3 linked regions of the Daphnia pulex genome follow. The protein of the gene in region 1 binds, or shares a complex with, the protein of each later gene. Links are inferred from orthologs where the notes say so. Each region holds a gene or a part of one and is shown in the gene's direction. Other genes may lie near its edges. The genes, in order: probable cleavage and polyadenylation specificity factor subunit 2, cleavage and polyadenylation specificity factor 73-like and cleavage and polyadenylation specificity factor subunit 4-like.

Evidence for each region.
Region 2: probable cleavage and polyadenylation specificity factor subunit 2 (region 1) and cleavage and polyadenylation specificity factor 73-like share a complex: the UniProt entries of both Drosophila melanogaster proteins name them as parts of the cleavage and polyadenylation specificity factor (CPSF) complex. The link is inferred for Daphnia pulex from reciprocal best matches to the Drosophila melanogaster genes Cpsf100 and Cpsf73.
Region 3: probable cleavage and polyadenylation specificity factor subunit 2 (region 1) and cleavage and polyadenylation specificity factor subunit 4-like share a complex: the UniProt entries of both Drosophila melanogaster proteins name them as parts of the cleavage and polyadenylation specificity factor (CPSF) complex. The link is inferred for Daphnia pulex from reciprocal best matches to the Drosophila melanogaster genes Cpsf100 and Clp.

What each region holds. Positions count from the first base shown.
Region 1 is NC_060028.1:937,148-942,473, reverse strand, and holds probable cleavage and polyadenylation specificity factor subunit 2, read left to right. Parts: upstream 1-2,174; 5' UTR 2,175-2,310; coding exon 2,311-2,633; intron 2,634-2,693; coding exon 2,694-2,785; intron 2,786-2,846; coding exon 2,847-3,348; intron 3,349-3,407; coding exon 3,408-3,655; intron 3,656-3,724; coding exon 3,725-4,065; intron 4,066-4,134; coding exon 4,135-4,339; intron 4,340-4,406; coding exon 4,407-4,576; intron 4,577-4,643; coding exon 4,644-4,733; intron 4,734-4,802; coding exon 4,803-4,940; intron 4,941-5,004; coding exon 5,005-5,097; 3' UTR 5,098-5,232; downstream 5,233-5,326. Other genes in the region: signal recognition particle 54 kDa protein-like, read left to right, coding at 50-152, 378-429, 503-508; distal membrane-arm assembly complex protein 2-like, read right to left, coding at 1,034-1,353, 1,418-1,997. UniProt on the Drosophila melanogaster protein: Component of the cleavage and polyadenylation specificity factor (CPSF) complex that plays a key role in pre-mRNA 3'-end formation, recognizing the AAUAAA signal sequence and interacting with poly(A) polymerase and other factors to bring about cleavage and poly(A) addition.
Region 2 is NC_060024.1:9,772,477-9,777,685, forward strand, and holds cleavage and polyadenylation specificity factor 73-like, read left to right. Parts: upstream 1-1,514; 5' UTR 1,515-1,581; coding exon 1,582-1,649; intron 1,650-1,724; coding exon 1,725-1,788; intron 1,789-1,870; coding exon 1,871-1,968; intron 1,969-2,036; coding exon 2,037-2,160; intron 2,161-2,222; coding exon 2,223-2,495; intron 2,496-2,561; coding exon 2,562-2,712; intron 2,713-2,777; coding exon 2,778-2,866; intron 2,867-2,932; coding exon 2,933-3,019; intron 3,020-3,090; coding exon 3,091-3,220; intron 3,221-3,289; coding exon 3,290-3,618; intron 3,619-3,682; coding exon 3,683-3,791; intron 3,792-3,857; coding exon 3,858-4,054; intron 4,055-4,115; coding exon 4,116-4,241; intron 4,242-4,298; coding exon 4,299-4,421; intron 4,422-4,476; coding exon 4,477-4,578; 3' UTR 4,579-4,624; downstream 4,625-5,209. Other genes in the region: 3-ketoacyl-CoA thiolase, mitochondrial-like, read right to left, coding at 4,728-4,812, 4,872-5,143, 5,199-5,209. UniProt on the Drosophila melanogaster protein: Component of the cleavage and polyadenylation specificity factor (CPSF) complex that plays a key role in pre-mRNA 3'-end formation, recognizing the AAUAAA signal sequence and interacting with poly(A) polymerase and other factors to bring about cleavage and poly(A) addition.
Region 3 is NC_060027.1:2,524,167-2,529,409, forward strand, and holds cleavage and polyadenylation specificity factor subunit 4-like, read left to right. Parts: upstream 1-2,195; 5' UTR 2,196-2,846; coding exon 2,847-2,913; intron 2,914-2,992; coding exon 2,993-3,037; intron 3,038-3,106; coding exon 3,107-3,310; intron 3,311-3,372; coding exon 3,373-3,498; intron 3,499-3,558; coding exon 3,559-3,622; intron 3,623-3,688; coding exon 3,689-3,789; intron 3,790-3,861; coding exon 3,862-4,001; intron 4,002-4,075; coding exon 4,076-4,104; intron 4,105-4,145; exon of another isoform or gene 4,146-4,189; coding exon 4,190-4,247; 3' UTR 4,248-4,322; downstream 4,323-5,243. Other genes in the region: E3 ubiquitin-protein ligase SMURF1-like, read right to left, coding at 1-118, 181-814, 882-1,115, 1,189-1,322, 1,393-1,540, 1,844-1,898; uncharacterized protein LOC124207999, read right to left, coding at 4,385-4,600, 4,677-5,243. UniProt on the Drosophila melanogaster protein: Component of the cleavage and polyadenylation specificity factor (CPSF) complex that plays a key role in pre-mRNA 3'-end formation, recognizing the AAUAAA signal sequence and interacting with poly(A) polymerase and other factors to bring about cleavage and poly(A) addition.

The sequences.
Region 1 (5,326 bases):
TATTAATTGTGAACTTGTTAAATATTTTAAAAATGTTTTTTTGCTTTAGAAATTTTGAATGATGATCCACATGCTGAAGCCAGTCGTATTCTGCAAATTCTAAATGATGAAGATATCCCTGATCAACCACAACTCAGCGTACTCGGCTCCAAGTAAGTTGTGTGATTGGAATACTGTTCAAGTGTTGTGATGTCGTCATTGGGTGTGTCAAGTTGATGGCTTGTCGATTCCAGACAAATCTTGTTTGTGCATGATTCGTGGGTTTATTTTACAATCAGGTCAATTGGTAAACATAGATTAGTCTTACAAAAATAATTTTAACGCGCCACTCCCGCGACGTTTTTCAGGTTGTAATCCATATTTATGTGTATCCACAGACGGACCTTCATCGAGTCGGTGATTGCGAGTAAAAATGAGTCGTCGGATAAGGTATTATTAATTCGATTTAATCGTAATTGCATGGACACTTTTTTCTTACTTCCATTATTTCATTGATTGCTAGGAATGAACATCTTTGCAGAGCTGCGAGAAACCGTGGCTACAACAACTGGGTTAAAATTAGATAGTCCTCTTACCCCTCCATCTATAGTATACTGGTTAATTTTTTTAAGAACGTGGGTTTCAGGGGGTCATAATTGTATGTTTCCAAGTAGTTATAAATAAACCCTGAACAACATTAATGGTTATTATTTGGGAATTGAATAAATGAAAAAAAAAAAATAATCAATAACAAATTATGTGTGACCCCGTCCTTAATCCAAATATTGTTTAAGAGTTCGCCAAGTCCGCTAAAATTGTGTCATGTAAATTCGGTCCTCTTCATCTTTTCGTAACTACGTTCAATATTTTTCTTCTTGATTCAATTCTTTTGCGATTTGGAGAGAAAAAAAAAAACACCCAACCCGTTCATATTAGCCTTCATGTCTTTTTTTCCCAGTTAAAAGATGGAATAAACATTAACATTTATGTATTGATTCATAATAATTCCTCAAGAACAAAAATCGGCAAATGACTGTTGAAAGAACTTTACATTTTACTCGTGGGCCTCGTCATTTGTCAATAAAGACTCATCGCAATAAAGAATACCTCGGATGGTTAATTCAGGCAAAACGTCCTCAAGCATGAGGCATACAAGTTCAAGATTTTTAGCTTCCGGGTGACCGCCAACCAGAAGAGTTTTCAGTTTCTTCATCTTACTTAATGAAGCGATACCTTTATCTGTCACCAGTGGACAGTTTCGAATATCCAGATATTCCAACGTGTCACAAAATTCGCCGGAAATCCTGTCCAGGCACCAATCGTCAATACGGGGACACGACTCCAGGCTCAACCATTTGAGCTTCTCCATGTTTTCTAAAAGAAATGTCAAGGTTATGTGTTGGTTTACATTTTTTCATGAAACAGGATATTAATATACTCATGTTTTCCAATCCTTCATAGACAAGAGTCATTTTTGAACAGTCAACAGCTTCCATTTTATAAGATTCCAAGTAAAATCTGGGTAAATTCGGTATGATATCCGAATCAGGGTCTTCGACAATCCAGTCTTTATGGCCATAAAAGCGAACTTTGCCACCTCGAAAACAAATAAAATGACCAGTGGCTATTTCTGGGCCAAGAAACTCTGCTCTTTCTTTGACGTACAACTGTGATCTAACGAGCTTATCTTCCTTCCAATCACTCCACGCTTTTTTAACTCCATACGGCGAGAATTCGATCGCGTTAAGAACACTGATTACTTCAATTGCATAGTTCTTTTGACTGGAGAATAACTGAAAGACGGTTTTCTTGTTTTCAGCATACATTGCTTTGGGGAGTTCATATGTTACGCGATCCTCTTCTTCCTTCTTTTTCTCCACCTCTGCCTTGTCATTACCTAGTTTGGCAATTTGAGATATACCGGCCGTCGGTCTTGTGTTCGATGTACTGGTACATGATCTTCGGAAATGTTTAAGCGATAGCCTCAGTTGAGTTAAACGAGAATAAGACATTGCCATGGATTTATTTTTTCTAGTTACTGTACCGATAACACTCACTATACACACAGCTGGACTTTTTAACGAGTTTTTATTGTGAATTTTGTGAAAGAAATTGTCTGCTAGACGAGCAGCATTGCATGATACACTAATCTGGCCAATCCCATTTATTCTTTGAATAAAGATATCAGGCATCGTAGGATGAAACCAAGCAGACATTCCAATTTCGGTTATTGAGAATGCGATATGTTCCTACATGATTAATAGAGGAACACGTCAACAACAATCCAATTCAACTAATTTACTCATGATAAACAATCCGCAGTAGACAAATATGACGTCTATCATCAAGTTTTGCGCGCTTTCGGGCGCGCTTGACGATTCGCCACATTCGTACCTTCTCAAAGTTGACGATTTCACTTTCTTGCTGGACTGTGGATGGGATGAAAAGTGTTCAGAAGGATTTATACATGAACTAAAGAAGCATGTCAACAAAATTGATGCAGTGCTTCTATCCTATCCTGATCAGCTGCACTTGGGAGCTTTGCCATATGCAGTTGGAAAACTTGGACTAACATGTCCAGTGTATGCAACAGTTCCTGTTTACAAAATGGGTCAGATGTTTATGTACGATTGGTATCAATCCAAAGACAACATGTAAGTACATTGATTAATTCAAATTTCAATTCAAGATGACTGACATTTGTATCTATTCAGGGAAGACTTCGATCTATTCACTCTGGATGATGTTGACAATTCGTTTGACAAAGTTGTTCAGTTGAAATACAGCCAAAGTGTGCCTCTCAAAGGTATAACAAGTCCTAATATTTCATTCAAGTTTTTCATACTGAAATTACTACTTGTTTACAGGAAAGGGACAAGGATTGATCATCACACCCCTTCCAGCAGGGCACATGTTGGGAGGAACTGTGTGGAAAATAGTAAAAGATGGAGAAGAAGATATCATTTATGCTGTTGACTACAATCATAAAAAAGAACGCCACTTAAACGGTTGTGAGTTGGAGAAAATTCAGCGACCGTCTCTTCTCATTACCGATGCGTATAACACCCTTTACGCGCAACCCAGAAGGCGAAGTCGTGACGAAAAGCTCATGACCAACATTCTACAGACTCTTAGAGGAGGAGGAAACGTCCTTGTTGCTGTCGATACGGCTGGAAGAGTTCTCGAATTGGCTCATATGTTGGAGCAACTATGGAGAAATCAAGAATCTGGCTTGAGAGCCTACAGTTTGGCTCTTTTGAACAATGTGGCTTATAATGTCAACGAGTTCGCCAAGTCACAGATCGAATGGATGTCAGATAAATTAATGAAATCCTTTGAAGGGGCCAGGAATAATCCTTTTGGATTCAAGTATTCAATCTAGCATTTATAAAGTTTTAGAAGTAATATTAAAGCAAATTGTTCTTTAGATATTTGCAGCTGTGTCATACATTGCCAGAAGTCCTCCGTATTGCTGGCTCAAAAGTTGTTCTCTCAAGCTGCCCAGATCTGGAGTGTGGATTCGCCAGGGATTTATTTGCCTTATGGTGTTCTGATGCAAGAAACTCTATCATTCTAACCAGCCGGTCAGGACAAGGAACGCTGGGCCAGCGGCTACATGATCAGCGTAACTTGAAATCTGTCACGCTCGAGCTTAAACAACGAGTCAAACTAGAGGGTAAGCTAATTTGCTTTTGCGGACGCAACAAACAAATCTAATCTAGAACTCCATTAATTTTTTTTAAAGGTGCGGAATTGGAAGAATTCCGTAGAAAAGAACGCGAAAAAAATATTTTATCTGGGATAAAAATAAAAGATCAGATAGCGGCGGAGTCTAGTGAATCTGAAGACGAAGTCAAGAAAGGCCGACATGATATTGTTGTCCGGTCCGACGATAAAACGACAGGAGCAGTGCAACACTTTTTTAAAAGTTCCAAGAAACATCCTACCATGTTCCCATATTTTGAAGACAAAATCAAATTCGACGAGTATGGCGAAATTATCCGCCCGGAAGACTACGTCATTGCCGAGTCGGAAGATCACGAAATGGCCGATTATTCGGTTGAAAAGCCTAAATGGGAAGAAGAGGTATGATTTTTTGTCATTTTTAACTTCCAATGCATCGCTTTGAGTCTCATGATCATTTCTTTCGTTTAGCCGGAAGCAGAGTGCCCTACCAAGTGCATTTCTACCACAACGACCCTAGCAATCAATGCAAGCATCATGCATATTGATTTCGAAGGACGATCTGATGGTGAATCCATTATCAAACTGATTGAATCGATGAAACCGAAACGAACCATCGTCGTCAGGGGATCATCCGAATCCTGTCAAGCACTGCAAAATTTGTGTCTTTCAACCGGTAAAATTGATTTTAAGGCAGAAAATGAATATGCTAACCTAAATTTGTTGATATTTCTTTTATTAAGGATCATCTGATAATAAAGCATTTATAGCACGAAAAGGGGAAACAATAGATGCAACTATTGAAAGTCACATCTACCAAGTGAGGTTGAAAGACTCTTTACTTTCTTCACTTTCATTCGGTAAAGCCAAGGATGCTGAAGTCGCTTGGATTGATGCAAGGCTAACTTATCAAGTAAATCTTACAGTTAATCTTAAAATTGCTGGGGAAAAATAAGGAGTAATTGTTTTTCTTTCAACAGGCAGAGGACTTGAGGGACTTGGACGATAAAGAAAATAATTCGCTCCGTAAAGAACAAGCTCCGCTGTTAGAGCCTTTAGAACCTAAAGATGTAAATAATACTTTATACTTAAATAACGTAACAATTGAAAATAATTTTGAATGATTTAATCTGTTTTAGATTCCTGGCCACGAAACATCGTACATCAACGAACTAAAATTATCGGACTTTAAACAAGTACTTGTGCGTAATGGTATCTCGTCCGAGTTTATCGGTGGTGTTCTTTGGTGTTGTAACGGTAACGTTGCACTGCGTAGGGTAAGATCTAATATAATTAATAATTGTGATCAAATCATTTAACGAAATTTTATCGCTTCTACAGAATGAATCGGGTAGAGTAACTCTCGAAGGCTGTATATCCGACGACTATTATCGCGTCAGAGAACTACTTTACGAACAATACGCTATTATATAGGGTAATAAGGGTTACTTATGTCTTTTTTAAATAACATCAGTACTGATACGCATCTTGATGAAAGCTTCCATCCATCATTACACCTGCACTCCTTTCTCTTGAAATAAAATAAATCCGCAATTTTGTGATAAAGAATGACTAAAACTGTTAATAATTTTAATTTTTAGAATGGGATAAGTCCTTGAATAGTAATTGTATTAAACCAGATGTAGTTACTGCTATCCCGTTA
Region 2 (5,209 bases), on another chromosome or scaffold:
CGCTTATATAAATATGGGGGGGGCTGGAAAATATTATCATCCGGAATCGGCTCTCTCCAACGTTTTGGAAATCTCTCTCTCTCCAAAAGGCAGCCAGAGAGATGACGTATGCGTGCTATACTGTATTATTCACTTTCAATGCTGTTGACAGTTTTGTTCACTTTTTCAAAGATTTGAAATTTCCTCGAAATTTCCAATCGATTTCGAACGTTCTTTTTGATAAAAACTTTTTTTTAACTTTTAATTTCCGGATGAGCGGATGATAGTGATCTCGTGTAGAAGGACAGGTGTGTTCACATCTATACGCCGCCATGACAACCGACTGACAGTCTTCTGGCACGAGGCATCTCCGGACGGACGGACGGCCGCGTTAAAGGCAGGTGAATTCGTAATAGTGGGAAACGGAACAGGTTCCTTCTTCTCCTTGTATATACGTCTATCCAATAGAGCAGCAAGTTTATTTATATACACGTTTATTCTGTCCGGAGGGATGTGCGCCAAGGTTCGATAAAGACGGCGATGACTCTCTCAAATCGGCCAGACAAATGTTATGCAATTAGAATCAGCCGAGAAATCCGCTCGCGGAGCCTGCGGTGCGATTGCTTGCTTGCACGCAACCGTGTGTCTGTGTGCAGGTGTGGGTGTGTGTGTGCGTTTGCACTAAGAAATTATGAAGACGCTTTGATATTTAATAGGAAAAAACTACCCACACTCGACACAGCTCCCACGTTCAATTGTTTTCCGTATCAGCGAATAATGTGCTGTCACGTAGGAAATGCGTTTCAATGTCTTGTTTTTTCGCTGGATATTTTTCGCCAAAATTTATTGTCAACTGCAGGGAGACAAACGTGAACTTTATAGCTTACACACACACATGTATATGTATACCTGGCCCACATATACCGTGCTCGATGCACTGGAGGTTCATAATCGTGATTCATGAAACAATCATGTTACATGCATCCTAGTAAAACTTCATGGAAACTCGGCCCAACCTATAGCTACACCGTGTGTGTGTACGAGCTTGACGAGTTACTGCAGAAAGACCAAATGGTGAAGTTGATATAATCAAAAGTTATAAAAGGAGAATCTTCTTGACATTTCACGAACGAACAGTTTGCCGGTCGCTTTTTGGGTCTACATTTTTACCTCATCTGGGATCGCTGCTTCTTTTAGACTCCGCCACTCTTGGCAGAGACTTGAAACCATCTCGTGTGTAGCTTTCGGTGCAGGTGCTTCATTCCCACGCATAATCATCGGTTATTTATGCCACCATTTCTCAAATCGAGTAGAGTTTCACGAATTTTAAAACCCGTGGACAAAAAAGTCGAGATTGAATAGTAAAAACGCCGTCAGTCCGTTAATATCTTAAATCATCGACCCCGAAAAAATATATCAAATTCTAAATGCCATAAAACTTCACGGCGTAGATTGCATAATTAATAAATGTATACTACGTAATATTTTTATGATTTTATCAAAGTAAAAAAGGCGAAAGCGGATGTGATGTGTCAACTCGCGGAGTGGACATAAAAGTTTACCTGGCAACAGCTTGTAGACCCAAGAAAAACAAAAGACAAAATGGCTAAACGTAAAAATGACGTACAGGTCCCGGCCGAAGAAAGTGATTTATTGGTTATTAGGCCATTGTAAATATAATGTCAATTGACTTTTAATTTGTATTTGGAAAATTCACGGGTGTTTTTTATTACATTACTTTTCAGGGGAGCCGGACAAGAAGTTGGTCGATCATGTATCATGCTCGAATTCAAGGGCAAGAAAATCATGGTAAACAAACGTGTTTTTGTTGTACAGAGTTGAATCGCCATTGAATGTGGGCATTTCATTGATTATGTTTTTCATTTTCTAGCTGGATTGTGGAATTCATCCAGGTTTATCGGGAATGGATGCACTGCCTTTCGTTGATTTGATTGAAGCAGATCAAATTGACTTGTTACTCATTTCACAGTGAGTTTTGGTTTTGTTTTCTTAAGTTTTATTGTCAATAGCTAATGTACAATTGTATTTTTCAATAGTTTCCATTTGGATCACTGTGGGGCACTTCCATGGTTTTTACAGAAAACAACATTCAAGGGACGGTGCTTCATGACACATGCCACAAAAGCAATTTACCGTTGGCTGCTCTCTGATTATATTAAAGTAAGAAAAAAAGGCATTTGAGTTTTAGTCGATGCAGTGCTCACAAGTAATATTTCCAACAGGTCAGCAACATTTCCACAGATCAAATGCTCTACACAGAGGCAGATCTGGAGGCATCCATGGAAAAGATTGAAGTTATCAACTTTCACGAAGAGAAGGATGTTGGTGGAGTTCGTTTCTGGGCTTACAACGCAGGCCATGTTCTGGGCGCCGCTATGTTCATGATTGAAATTGCCGGCGTGAAAGTGCTTTACACTGGGGACTTTTCCCGACAGGAAGACAGACATTTGATGGCCGCTGAGATTCCTACTGTTCGACCCGATATCCTAATCACCGTGAGTTAAGCTTGAAGTATTTCAAGGCGAAATATGTCCATGTGATAATCTGTTTTATTCTCGAAGGAATCCACTTACGGAACTCACATCCACGAGAAGCGCGAAGATCGAGAAAGCCGTTTCACAGGTCTGATCCACGAAATTGTCAATAGAGGTGGCAGATGTCTGATCCCGGTCTTTGCACTGGGTCGAGCACAAGAATTGCTTCTCATTCTAGGTATTAGGTATTAGAAGTAATTTTTTGCATAAGAAAACTTCCAATCAGTTTTAATTGGCTTTTAGATGAATATTGGAGCCTGCATCCCGAACTTCACGAGATTCCCATCTACTATGCCTCGTCGCTTGCACAAAAGTGTATGGCCGTGTACCAGGTACTAATCAAATTCAAAATCTCGCAGCGATCGCATCAAACTTTAATTGGTTCTCTATTCTTGCAGACTTATATCAATGCCATGAACGACAAAATTCGGCGGCAGATTGCCATCAATAATCCTTTCATCTTCAAGCACATCTCTAGTCTCAAGGTACAATAATATTTGAAATAACCTGTTATAAAATGGTCCTTTATTCAACGCAATGTATTGTCATTCCCCAGGGTATCGATCAGTTCGAAGACGTTGGCCCTTGTGTAATTATGGCCTCTCCCGGTATGATGCAGAGTGGTCTATCTCGCGAACTCTTCGAAGCTTGGTGCACAGATCCTAAAAACGGTTGCATCATCGCAGGTCAGTGGAAAGAAATGTTTTAATTTTTATATAATTAGTTGTTCACGTTTATTTTTGTTGTCGTAAAAGGGTACTGTGTTGAAGGAACATTGGCAAAACATGTTTTGTCAGAACCGGAAGATATTACCAGCATGGCTGGCCAGAAGCTACCAATGAAGCTTTCAGTTGACTACATTTCATTCTCCGCTCACACTGACTACCAACAGACCAGTGAATTTATTCGTTTGCTGAAGCCACCTCATGTCGTTTTGGTTCACGGCGAGGCCAACGAGATGAACCGACTCAAAGCGGCGCTCATCCGAGAGTATGAACATGATCCAGACACTCAAATCCGTATATACAATCCACGTAACACTGCGGCAGTAGAACTCCATTTCAAGGGCGAAAAAACGGCCAAAGTAATTTAAAAAATCGTAAAAGCGATTCACCCAATGAATTTTATTCTAACGCCTTGTTGTCTAGGTGATGGGATCTCTGGCGTTTGAAAAACCAGTCGAAGGCCAAATCATTTCTGGTGTCTTGGTCAAACGAAACTTCAAATACCAAATTGTGGCGCCGTCGGATATTTCGAGTACCAACAATTTTTATTCAAGTCTTAATTTCTATAACTTTAGTACCCAATTTTTTTGAATTGCAGAATACACAGACATGACTGTAAGCAGCGTAACTCAAAGGATGGGTATCCACTACAGCGGGAATCTGCAAACGTTACAAGCTGTCCTGTCTCACGTTTCGCCTGACGTCGAAGTTATCGAGAGCGACAAAGGACTAAAAACATTTCGCCTTTTCTCTGCCATTGATGTCATTGTTGATAAAACTCTGGTTACATTAGAAGTACGCATCTTAATGATTTGTGAAGACCACTTCTTTAATGTTTAATATTTGATTTGTTTAGTGGGCGGCTGATTCTGTGAACGACATGTTCGCTGACGCAGTGCTTTCAGCTATCTTAAAGTGCGAATCTCTTCAAGGTTCGAGGACGATTGTGCTACCCACGACTGTTGATCATGCCCGCTTCAAGGTACTAAATTTTATTTGTTTGAGAATAATATCGGTCTAAACGTGTGAATTTATATAGGAATGCTTGATAGAAATGCTTCAAGATATGTTTGGAGATGATGCGGTTCCAAAAATGTTCAAAGGAGATAAATTCATTGTTACCGTTGACGGAAAAAGAGCCAATATAGATCTCACAGCATTGGTAACGTCTAAAATTACCGTTTTCTTATAAAAATCTAAATTCTTTTTTATTAAAGGAGGTGGAATGTCCTGAAGATGTTGGATTTCAACAAGTGGTTCAAACGGCTGTACTTAAATTATATCAATCTTTGGCACCAAAAGCAGAAAAAGTAAAATAACTTGTATTGATATTTAATAATGGAAGAATAAACAACTGCTAAAGTATTTTTATAATCCATCCATATATTTTTTGCATTGTTACTGGATTGTGATTTCTTAAAAATCAAAGTCTTCGCACTAATATTGCCCCGCACGAAGTAACAACCGATTAATTCATGCCCTCAAGAAGAAGAGCTACTCCTTGACCACCACCAATACAAGCCGATCCGATAGCATATTTCAGTTTGCGACGTCTAATGATAAAAGTAAAATAATTAGCATATGGTTCAACGCATCAAAGAAAATTAATTACCCCAATTCGTGAACCAAATGCGCGGTAATGCGCGAGCCGGAAGCTCCAAGAGGATGACCAAGAGCGATGGCACCACCATTGACGTTAAGGACTTCAGGATCCAAATCAAGTTCACGTTGGCAAGCAATAGTCTGAGCCGCGAAGGCTTCGTTGATTTCAACTGCACCAATATCCTTCAGCTGCAAATTAGCTTTAGCCAATACTTTACGAATGGCAGGTGCTGGTCCGATTCCCATGATAGTGGGTTCAACACCAGCAATACCATAACCAACCTACAAATAAAACAATTAATGATGTATTCATTAAAAGTGTAAAGATTTTGTATACCAAACGAGCCA
Region 3 (5,243 bases), on another chromosome or scaffold:
CGTCGAATTGGCCACAGGCGCCGCGCAGGCCCCATTCTCCGACGTGGCGACGGCGTTGGGTGGTGGCAGGGTCGGTTGAGGTTGCGACGGGGCTGCACGATGGTCTGACCGGTGGAGACTGGAAAAAATTCACGTGATTAAAAAAAAAGGACGTCAATTTTATTATTTGAAATAATTTACTTGAGGAGATTTTGCAAGGCCAGTCCCGTAGAGAGACGAGGGTCGGTGAATTGCGTCGTCCGGTTATTGTGGTCCACGAAATAAATCCTGCCCGAAGGAGTGTGACGCATTTCCCAGCCAGGGGGCAGAGCGCCGGGCATGGGAAGATCGCGGAGGTCTCGTGGGATTCGCGGATCGTACCACGTACTGATGCCGGTCGTCACGTGATAAAAGTAAACCTGACCCTGGCCGGTTTTACGCATTTCGTAGCCATCCGGCAAATCGTTGGCCAAGGGCCGTCTCGACTGCTGTTGCTGTTGCTGCTGCTGGGTTGATGGCTGTTGTTGTTGTTGTTGCGGTTGCCGATGGCGGACAGATCGTCTTCTGAAAGACGATCCGGAAGAGTTGGACGACGACACCGCATCCAGACTGTGACTTTGTTGAACCGGAACCGCTGGATGTCGCTTATCACGTTCTCTGCTACTGTGACTGCGTCTGCTTTCTCGACCATTGCTGGCCGAAACTGAGCTGCCGCCGCTGCTGCTGGCCTGAGCCCCGCTGCTACTCTCCACGATGGGCCTGGTCCATTGACTACTTCTCGATTCCGGATTCACGTAATACCTACGGCCACTGGATGTCCTCCTTTCCTCCCAACCTGCCCATTATGAAGACATTTGTCAATAAAATTTTCAAAGTCATCAAGTTGTTGTTGTTTAATTTACCCTGCGGAAGGGGAGAGGTGACTGAAGCCGTGGCAGCTTCTTGAATGCCTGCAGGTGACGCAGGGCTGGCAACATTTCCCAGAGCGTCCACAACGGTTTGGACGACGGGAGTTGCACTGTTCTCGTGACAGCTTGACGAATTGTGCTGTTCTCTAGACAGCAAGGAAATAACTATTTGTCCCTTCACTTGATCGGTGTCGTTGGCGTTCGCGCGCGTCAAGTCAAGACGTTGATCTGAAAAACAAACAAACAAAGAGACGAAGAATTTAGAGGTGGACATTCACAAGACAGAATTATTTGGCATTACATCCTGTGTCTTTCAGGCGTTGAATGGCATTGGACATGATTCGAACACAACCAAGGAATCCGCCACCTTCCTTCTTGTGAATCTTCTTGTGGTTCCAAACACTGATGGTTATCGCATCTGACTTGCCAATGTACCTGTGGGAAAAGAGAGAAAAAACAGTCAGGCGTTGAAGAGTTGAATTGTCTGGTGGTGATGATGACTTACAGGTCAAAGTGCTGGTTCCACTTTGGGTCCAACGAAGACTTGCAGGTGTCTGTGCTGTGACATTGGCCCGATCCCTCAACACTGACTTTGGCAAATGGGTCAGGCAAACGGAACAGATCCTTCTTTGCGAGATTCTTGGCGCACAGTACTGGTGGTTTGAGAGAGACAGAAAGAGATAAACATCAATAAGACACGGTCATACCATCAAGACTTGTTATTTCATTACTAATCCTCTCCCCTCCATCTCAACCCACCCCTGGGGGCAAGAGGAAGTTTACCCTTTCTACAAAGACAGGAAACAGGGTATCAGATAAAATAAAGCCTGGAATGAGAGAAAACCAGCCCAGGAATGTTGCTTCACCGAGGAGGAATCAATGAAAATTCCGTTTGTGGCACACGATTGAAAAATTGGCCCAACATCAAAACAAAAGAGAAAATAAAAAACACTTACTTGTGAGTCGAATCTTAATGGCCCCATTTCTCCTATTGATCCCTGTGTGGGACATTGCTGGCGAACAGGCAAACTCTCCTCCCAATCGTAACACAGAACTGAGATTACACTTCAGACATCGAGAATAATAAAAAGTCACGTGCGGCTTAAACCATGCATTTAAGTAAGTCTAAATATATAACAAGAACAGAAATCCTTTGTCAAAATCAATTTGTTTTGCAGTCCAAAACGGGACTCGGTACACTTTTTAGGCAGCCATGTCAGCGAGCAATGGAAAACTGGCCCTCTAGCGGAACCACCAGGCAGCTACTGTAAATAATAAGCAGAGGCGAAACGCAATAAAATCAAAACAAGCAAACTTCTGTCTCGTGATTCTCGACCTTGTTTGTTTGTTTTGACCAAACAACGAAATTCCTTCCTCACCCTCGAATTCTCTGAAATAATTCCAAGTCTAGCGATTTACTTGAGAAATGAGAAGAATTACAGATAAGCTTATCTTTGCGGTTTTTTCGTCTAGTGAGCGGAGCTCGGCGTTCTTTCTGTAGCACTAGCAGTATTGTTCTATTAAGATAATTTTTGAAAAGACAATTGCTGATATTTCAATTCATTTGAATAGTAAACCTTTACACAAAGACACGAGTCCGAATAAGTGCAATCTGTGCAATGATGTGTAGGCCTAGATGACCGCACACAAAATCAATTGCCATCCTCATTTCTTTGCGGTACTGTTTACTAAACTTTAAAAGCTAAAAATTCCCATTACATAAAAAGCTGAATTCCGATCTACAAAATTTCTAAATTTAGTTTTGTTATGAAACGTTCTAAAAGCGTAAAAGAATATAACTAAAGATGCCGTTTAGTCTCACCTGCGGTAGCCCGGCTACCCTTCCTCTAAATTTGTGTCAAAAGCAAAATAAGCAAAAGTTGGTGTACATGTTGCTTGGTGCATGGGTAAATTAAATCGTTTTCAGCAGGAATTTTACTATAACTATTAAAATTAAAAATGGGCACCATGGATACCGTAATGGCGCCTATTGCCAATATCAAATTTGATATTGAAGTTGCCTTGGGTAAGAGAGAATCAAGATCTGATATCATCACCATATTTCAATTTGAATGAAACTAATGAACCAATATTTGTATTTATAGAGCAACAGCTGGGAGCCCAAAATCTCCCATTTCCCGGAATGGACAGTAAGTGAATTAAATGCATGTGCACATGGTTTCGACTTCTAATAATGTTTGGGTCTTTTAATTCTTCAGAATCAACGGCAATGGTGTGCACTCTATTCACTAAAGGTCAATGCCAGAGAGCAAGTTTTTGCCCATACAGACACCTCAGAGCAGACCGGACAATTGTATGTAAACATTGGCTCAGAGGACTATGCAAGAAAGGAGATCAGTGTGAATTTCTCCATGAATTTGATATGGCTAAGATGCCAGAGTGTTATTTCTACGCCAGATTCAGTGAGTTCCATATCTAGAGTTGATTTGATAAAACAGTTTTAATGTTTTTTTCTTTCTCCCAGGTGCTTGTCACAACAAAGAATGCCCTTTCTTACACATTGACCCTGAAACAAAGATCAAAGATTGCCCTTGGTATGATCGTGGTTTCTGCCGTCACGGACCGACTTGCCGACACCGTCATGTTCGACGTAATAACATTTTTATCGTTTCGTGAAAGAATCATTTTAAATATTGCTTTAATGTTTCAGGTGTGCTCTGCATGAACTACACAGCAGGCTTCTGTCCCGACGGCCCCGAATGCAAATTCGTCCAGTAAGAACAAAATAACTCGTAATATTATTGTCAGTTGGTGAAAATAACTGTGAATTTCTTTCTTAGTCCGAGATTTGAATTACCTCCACTTCCAGATGATATCAAGGGTGACAAGAGAAAGATGCCTCTAGTCTGCCATTTCTGTGGAGAAGTGGGACATAAAGCTGGTAAGAATCCTAACCTTGAATTACATAATACAAGTTTTTCGTCCCAAATTGATTTCATTTTGTTTTTCGTAGCTCAATGTCCGAAAATTCCATCAGAATCTAAGGACATTTACCGCACGCCCGCCGATGCCTCTACTCATGCAAATAACGCTTCCCAAGCCCAGAGAGATCGAACGAATTTGAGACCTTTAGATGAAGTCACCTGTTATAGAGTAAAAGAATTTATTTGTTCACATTCGCGATTTTTGAAATTACCCTTATTCACTTATCTTTTTGTTGTTAATAGTGTGGACTGCGCGGCCACTATGCAAATCGGTAAGATGAATTTATATTAATGAATTAGTCGTTTTGGGGCATTTCAATGTAATATCACTCATGCTGTAATTTTTATTTCAAACAGGTGTAACAAAGGACATCTGGCTTTCTTGAGTAACCAGCCAACAGAAGAAAGAAGTTAACGAAAATTACATTCATTTCCAACACTGTCTCTGTCCATTCAATAAATACAATTTTGAAATCTCTCTAAAAAAAAAGGAGTCAGAACACTAGTATATAATTATTTTTAGTAGTAGAACGGTTTTTGTGTGAGGAATCTTTAGATGTAGGTAGGGGCATTTGTGAGTGAGGTGGAGCAGGCAGCACATTTCTCTGCTTCTGGTGCGTTCACCAAAGTGCAATTGGAGCATTCACGTCCTCCGCGGAACAGAGGCTGGCTCTCAGGGCCCTTGTGTCTCGACTTGGAACACATGTCGCAAATTTCTCGATCGTCGGGATTCAGAAAAGTGCAAAACAGGCACTCCCATCCATTGAACTGAAAATTACCAAGGTTAAAAGGCTTTTACTCACACGCCACTAGATTTCCAAATTGTATAAATGCCATTGACTACCTTTGCAGAATTTAAATGTTGTCTAGCGGCTCTACCATTAACTTGGGCGGCTGCGGACTCTTTTGGCCTAGCTCCAACCGGTGATGATCCAGACGTGAAATATTGAGGATTGTTTGTTATTTTTGAAGGTGCAGTCTTTTCCGGCATTCGATCATAGTTTCCACCAAACATTTCTTTAACAGAAGTAGGAACGTTTCTCTCTTCTTTCAACTTGTTTACTCGATTGTCTTTCGATCTTTCGACAGTAGTGCTGCTACTCGGACAGTTATCTACGTCATCGTAGCAAAGCTGCTCCAAGCGATCAATATCCAATAGACTGTCAAACTTTGGTATGCTCTTCATCTCACGAACGAATGAGTTGTTCCAGACGTCGAAAGTTTCTGGGATGCCTTGTCCTTCAATAATCGACTTCGGTTCGAGGGATCTAGTTTGATAGTTAACAGGAATCGATGTCGGTTCTTCCACGGGAAGAGTCTTGGGCAGATAGATTTCTTTTTGTTCAGCAGAGAGAGAATAGTTGTAGGCCGGTTTCGCGTACTGCTGGTACATCATTTGAAAGGGGAAGGA